Rattus norvegicus: one gene and its partner. The protein of the gene in region 2 binds, or shares a complex with, the protein of the main gene of each other region. Links are inferred from orthologs where the notes say so. Each region holds a gene or a part of one and is shown on either strand. Other genes may lie near its edges.

What was found.
Region 1: Dnajb13 (region 2) and Dydc1 share a complex: the UniProt entries of both Homo sapiens proteins name them as parts of the axonemal radial spoke complex. The link is inferred for Rattus norvegicus from reciprocal best matches to the Homo sapiens genes DNAJB13 and DYDC1.

What each region holds. Positions count from the first base shown.
Region 1 is NC_086034.1:16,973,546-16,977,843, reverse strand, and holds the start of Dydc1 (DPY30 domain-containing protein 1), read right to left. Parts: upstream 2,813-4,298; 5' UTR 2,566-2,812; intron 2,065-2,565; exon of another isoform or gene 1,810-2,064; intron 1-1,809. UniProt on the Homo sapiens protein: Functions as part of axonemal radial spoke complexes that play an important part in the motility of sperm and cilia. Plays a crucial role during acrosome biogenesis.
Region 2 is NC_086019.1:164,262,413-164,265,172, reverse strand, and holds part of Dnajb13 (dnaJ homolog subfamily B member 13), read left to right. Parts: exon of another isoform or gene 1-59; coding exon 60-173; exon of another isoform or gene 174-606; intron 607-1,859; coding exon 1,860-1,973; intron 1,974-2,468; coding exon 2,469-2,545; intron 2,546-2,760. UniProt on the Homo sapiens protein: Functions as part of axonemal radial spoke complexes that play an important part in the motility of sperm and cilia.

The DNA of each region.
Region 1 (4,298 bases), on a different chromosome or scaffold from region 2:
TCCTCAGTCTCTGGTATCAGCTTCTGTGTTAGTCAGTGCCCGTGACCAAGGCCACTATTATAAGGACAACACTTAATTGGGGTTGGCTTGCATTTTCAGAGTTTCAGTTCATTATCCATAAAGCAGGACCATGGCAGTATCCAGGCAGGCATTGCAGGAGAGAAGCTGAGAATTCTACATCTTAATGTGAAGGCCTCCAGGAGAAGATTGGCATCCTCCTCAGGCAGCTAGGAAGAAGCTCTCAAAGCCCACTTTCAGAGTGACGCACTTCTTCCAACAAGGCCACACCTCCTAACAGTGCCACTCCCTGGACCAAGCATATTCAAACCACCACAGCTTCCCTTAAGACTCACCTCAAGCACGTCCCTGTCATCATATATCCTGGGCTCTTACCCCACTGAATATCCTGCCATATTCTAGCTATCACACTGTGCTTTCCCATCTCAATAATCCTTTCCTCTCTACTCTTGGAACATACCTCCTCCTTCGAGCCACAGATCATGTCTGGCTCTGGAGTTTTGTCAAGCAGTACAAGGGAGTTTCTCCTACTTCAAGTAGCTCATACAGCCCTTGTCATGCTGCCTACAAAGTGTATAAGAGAGTGTTAGTATGTGTGTGCATGCATGCGCATGTGTGTGCCCTGCTGTCTCTCCATGGTGGCAAGTAATCAAACGTGTGCCTACTCTCAGCTGTTCCCCAGTCTTTTCAGGTATGAAGGCAGATACGTGAGTATTTTTTAGGGTGACTATTTCTATTTATAGTTATATAGGATAACAGACCAAACAAATGATCCCACCCAAGCCCAGAATTGTGACCCAATGAGATTAAAAGACCAGAATATGTTCACCATTGCAGTTCTCGACTCCTGTCTCAAAGGTGCAGACTCAAGACTGGAGTGACATGTGAACGTGGTTATTCACACGTTATTATTATAGTCAGACTGAAAGTGCTGTCTGAATGTCCTGGCAGGGGATCAATTACATACAACACCATGGAATCCAGCCACAATATAAGGGGCTGGAAATGCTCTCTAAAATAGGCAGTGGTTTCCTAGTGAGGCACAATGCAGGAGGAAAAGGGAGATGTAGAAATTGCTCCTGCTTCCAAAGGAATATACACGTGTATGTATAGTGTAGCCCTAAGAACGACTGGAGCTGGCACAAATACGCTGATTTCCAACTAGATTGGCACTGGTGTCCTAATCACAGAGAGACAAACACGGCAACTGACTGGGCTGTGTCTTCACGGTGCTTCTTCTGTGGGAAATTCTCTATAGATAAGATCACCACATGGACGTATCAGTGTCATTTATATACAACATGGAATACACTCTTCCTGCTGCTCCAAAAACATAGGATCTGGGGCTCTGGCAGCTGCTTAGCGTTCTCCGTGGGGCTTTCATGAGGTCCCTCTGTCATCTCTGCAACATACATTTCCTGGTCAGGTTAGGAAACTACTAGCCATCTCTTCTGTCCTAAGAAGTGTTATTTCCCAGCAAACACCAGTGCTCATCCAGCTTCACAGAAGAAAGTCCGCTCCCACAGAAACATCTGGAGCAGCTGCTCTGAGACAATGGAGGAGGTTCTCTGCCAGGACCTGGGAAGAGTGCTGGATTCGGCACTCAAAACCACCGCAGACCTAATTTCTGAGAAACAATGAATAATTGTCTTATATATATTTGTGCTAGCAAGTAACCTGCTTATCTAAAAGTAAATTTCAATCAGGCAGCCACCAACCTAGACACTTAGATTAGTTTTCCTATTGGGTGGCTAGAGGGCGGGAGAAGGAGGGGGGGAGGAAGAAGAGAAAGAGGAGGAGCCGGAAGAGAGGAGGAAGGAGAAGGAGTCCTTGCGCTCCAAAGGCTCTTACAGGAGAACTAACCCTCCCTCGGATTCTGAGTTGAGACCTACTTGACTCTCAAGGTGAAAATTTTAGAACTGCTTCTGCAGAGACACTAGAGGGCCGGTTCGAAGGAAAACGCTCCAGCCTCCTTGGTGCACGCATCCGATGCACGTTCTGGCCACACGCCAGTGAGTCGCGTCCCGTTGCCTGGCAACGAGAGCACGCTCTAGTGTAGAGCTAAGGTTCCATTGCAGCCCAAGTAGTGGAGGCAAAGGGAAATGAAAGGAGAATTCGCACTCTAGGGGAGGGGGTGCACTCTCGATAGAGCCAGGAACGCGCACTGTAGGGGAGGGGGCACGCAGATGGGAGAACCAGATTTATGGGAAAGGAAACACTGTGGAGAAACAGCGGGAGGAACCCAGCAGACACGGGGACTCTTCTTAGATAGGAGCCTTGTGGAGCAGCAGATCTTTGAAGTCAGGAGAGACACTTTCAAGGCTGCAGGCTTGTTGGCTTGGTAATTTTAAGACCTTTCAGAGTGAACTCACGGGCTGGAGAGATGGCTCAGCCGTTAAAGGCTAGGCTCACAACCAAAATATCAGAGTGAACTCACACACAAGCAACTTCAGCTAGCCCAAAGACACCCTCCACCAGGCTCTAGCTTGCACTCTCCCCTGGTGTGCGTGGTTAGTTCTTGTCAATGTGACACAAACCTAGATATACCTGGGGGCAGGAAATCTCAAATGAAGAATTGTCTCCATCAGATTGACTCGTGGGCGTGTCTGGGAGGCATTTTCTTGGTTGCTAATTATGGGCATATGTCCACTATGGGGAGTGCTTGTCCCTGAGAAGGCAGGCTTGGGCTGTGTAGAAAAGGTAGCCGAATCAGCCAGAGAACGAAAGCCTTCCTTTCATGGTTACTGTTTCACGCTCACTCTCCCATTGCGTTGCTGGCTTGGCTTTCCTTGATGATAGACTGAGTGTAATCTGTAAACCAAATAAATTCTTCCCCCCTCCCCCCGGGTCATAGTGTTTACCAGAGCAACAAAAAGCAAACAATGGGCCTGGCATTGCTCGGTGGTAGAGGCTTGCATAAATGCAAGAAGGGACGCTGATGGATCAACAGAGTCTGAGCCCTTCCTTTGCCCACCCGCCCCCAACATCAGAGCACTCAGACATCTTTACTCGGTACTGAATGTGGGACAAGTGCCAGGGGTGGTATCCTCAGAGGGCTTGTCGCGTTTAAGCAGTGCAGCAGTCACTCAGTAATCCAGGCATGGAGAGACGCTCTGGCAGTGCATTGGTGATTCTGTGCTGGGATTCTACGAGAATAGCGAGAGGATCAGTGACTGGGGGTTGCACTGGGGATTTCGTCGAGCCACACATATATTCAATCTAAGATATCGGAAGTTGCACTTCACCAAACAACAACTCCTCGTCCGATCACATGAAGCAGCAGGGATGTGGAAAACTTAATCCACACAAACCCTTCTGTATGTTCCGTTTCCCTGTCTTCTGACTTCTAGAAGCTGTCTCTGGACATGATCTTGACTTTCATGCTCCTTCTTCCATGTGTTTTGTCACTCTGCCACCCTCCACGTCTGGCCTTACTGACACCTCTGGCAATTACAGCTGTGCCTATGTGGCGCTTTCCGTGAGAATGAGCCCGAGAGGCTCAGATATTTGAATGCTTGGTTGACAGTTGCTGCAACTCTTTTGAAAGGCTTCGGAGATGTCTTGTTGGAGGAGGTGTGTCACTGGGGGTGGACTTTGAGGTTTCAAAAGTCCACAGCAGGCTCGCTCTGTCTGCCCCTACCTCCAACGTGAAGACAAGCTTTTGAGAACTGTTCCAGCACCGTGCCTGCTTGTGCCCATGCTCCCAATCCCATGGCGGCTGTGATTCCCCCTCTAAAACTGCAAAGCTTCAAGTTAAGTGCTTTCTTTTGTAAACCGTCTTGATCGTGGTATCTCTTCACCACCAATAGAAAAGTAACTGAGAGGTCCCGCTTGTATAACACACACTCCTTATTTAAGATCCTTAATCACAATTCCAAAGCCCCCTTTATCATACAACATAACATCCACAGGTTCCGGGTTTGAGATTATGGGTTCCTGTGGAAGCAAAAATGTAGCACTGGAATAAGCCTTCAAGATGGCTCCTGTGTCTACATTGTCAGAGTCTTACTTCCTGGCATAATAAACTGTCTCTGGCTGCTTATATTTTTTTTTGCCCCAACCCTGGAGCCAAACTTTTCCTTAAGGATCTACGATCCCTTAATTCATGAACAATATTTAATCCCCCTTTGCAGCTGGGTATGGTGGTGCACACCTCGCATCCATCACTGGGAAGGGATCAGCAGGAAAAAGCATGTTCAACCATGGTGGGCTACCTAGGGAGTTGCTGGCAAGCCTAGCACAGTGAAACCCCGCCTCATGGAGAAAAACAAAGAAACAAA
Region 2 (2,760 bases):
TACACCCTACAGGGCCTTTCCCCTGAGACAATTCCCCGTCCCTACCCCTGTCACCGTAGGTGCTAAATGAAGATGGGTATTCCTCTACCATCAAGGACAAGATCCTGACCATCGATGTGAGGCCTGGGTGGAGGCAGGGCACGCGCATCACCTTTGAGAAGGAAGGGGACCAGGTGAGAGGGAGAGAAGCTGGCTCGGGGCAGTCAGTCACCAGGTTCAGGTAGTGGGGGGACCGAGAGGGAAGGAACACATTTTTTTCCTGTTCCTACAAGTTTTGGTCTAGAGTTAGGTGGTCCCCAGAGCCCCTTCCCAGGGACAGAGCATCCCAATGCTTCTGTGAGCTCAGCTTGGAGATCACTACCATTTTCCACAGTGGGAAACTGAGGTCCGAGATGGAAGAAACTTGCTCAAGATATGAACACAAAAGGCTGAAAGAAGGGCCTGGGGAGATGACCCAATACCACCCAGGGATGGAGACCTGGACTTGGTCCCCAGCGCCATTGGCAGAGCCCCTGTGATACCAGTGCTGGAGAGGCAGAGACAGAGGATCTTGGGGTTTACTGAACAGCCAGTCTGAATTGATGTGCTCTTGGGTCAGGAGAGATCCTGTCTCAAAAAATAAGATGGAGAGCAAGTGTCAATTTGTCGCCTCCGCCAGCACATACATGAATATAGGCCTGTGCTCACACAGAGGAAACACGCGTGTGCACATATACACACATACACACAGACAGAGAGGAACACACACACAGTGTAACACACACAGAGGAACACACATACACAGAGAGACAGAGACAGAGAGAGACAGAGACAGAGGAACACACACACAGTGGGACACACACACACACACACACACACACACACACACACACACACACACACACCCCTGGCGGGAGAACTCAGTTCAGCTTCCCTTCCAGTGTCTTTCCTTGGTGCAAGGAGAAAGATGTTCAGAAGCATTTAATTAATAACAATATTAAGCTAAAATACCTGTGGAAACATTGTTATTGTACAAGGATCCCAAGTGCTTACATGTTGACAAGAAACAGTAATGGCCAGCTCAGAGCTGAGAGAGATGGATTCTCTTGCCCCCACTTGTCCCTTTCTTACGTGGAAAACACCTGCTTCCAACAATCATGCTTCAACCTGGGCCATTGCGAGCCACAGCAATTCAGGAGGCTGAGGCAGGGGATCACTTGAGCCTTAGGAGTTTGAGTTCAACCTGGGTGACATAGCGAATTCCAGGCTAGTCTGGCTACAGAGTGAGACCCTGTCATAAGTAAGCGAGAAGACAGGCAAGCAAATAGATATTCAGTGCCAACATCCTCCACTCTGGCCAGCTTTTCCCAACCTTGGCATGGCCCAGGGCCTCCTCAGAGCCTAACCTCTGGCCCTCCCTTCATCTGGGCTTTGAGCTTACAATTTTTGACTATAAGGCAATTTCTGACCATCTGACTATTTCTTGTCCTGGGAACAGCAGCTGCTCTTGCTCTCTGTCTTCAGTGGTCAGAGTTGAGGCAGCTCACTGAAGCGAAGAGATCACTGCTGAGTTTCTGTTAGGCAGAGCAGCTGTTTGACCCCAGCTCAGGGTCTAGCTATCACTTGCGGAAGTCCCTGCCCCACACTACTGAGAACACTTACTTTGAGCATGCTCAGTAGAGAAGTGCTTTGGGAGTGGGAAGTGATTTTGATCTAGGGAAGCTTCTCTAGAGGGTGGCCCTAGGCCACACTGAATGCTCCCTCTAGAAAACTGGGCCTAGTTCTCCTTGCACAGTGAGGACCTGGAGACAAGTAGAGACAGAAATGTGGCCAAATCATATAAGCAATAAACCCGTTACCCCTTGGCTTTCCCCGCCTAGGGCCCCAACATTATCCCGGCCGATATTATCTTCATCGTAAAGGAGAAGCTGCACCCTCGCTTCCGCAGGGAGCAGGACAACCTCTTCTTTGTGTACCCCATTCCTTTGGGCAAGGTGAGTGGGTACAGCGCAGAAGGCCATGGGGGCCCAGAGTGAACCCCACCTGCAGCAGCTCAGTTCCATCTCTTCTCCCCTAACCAACTTCTGCAGTCACAGGCAGGGCCCTATATCTCTCTCCCTGGCATTAGTTGGATCTGTGGGACAGCCCCTCCCCATCTCATCTTCCCACCCTGTCCTGGTCCTGCTGCTGTCCCCAGGCTCTCAACATGTCCAAGTGGTTCTCCTCAAGGTGCCCCCGTTGACTCATTCTTTGCACTTCAGGTCTCAGGGTGAGGACACCTGCCCACCTCACCCTAGAGCTGCTGCCCCTACTGTGTGGCAGCATTCAGAGCCTGTCACCCCTGCCTCTCAAAAGCCTTACACTCTGTCATCACGGAACTGCCTAGCTCAGGGTTGGAACCCAGGTAGACTCCCAGACACCTTCTAAATAGAATGGCTGCAGTGATGCCCTGTAGACCTCTCTCTCACTCTAACCTCCCCCACCCTCAGGCCCTTACCTGCTGCACTGTGGAGGTGAAGACCCTTGATGACCGGCTGCTCAACATCCCCATCAACGACATTGTCCAGTGAGTCTGTCTGCCTAGTCCCCAAGTAGCCACAGAGAAGATGGACTAAGACTTGGCAGGGCTGTGCAGGGAACCCTGGGAACCCAGGCTAGGATTCAAATCCACTGGCCTCTGCCTGAGCCACGGGCTGTGTTCACCCTATGGTGGGATCACCTTTCTCTAACCCATGGGAAGCCCCTGCATAGGCCCGAGAAGCCCAGTGCTGGTCCATCTCT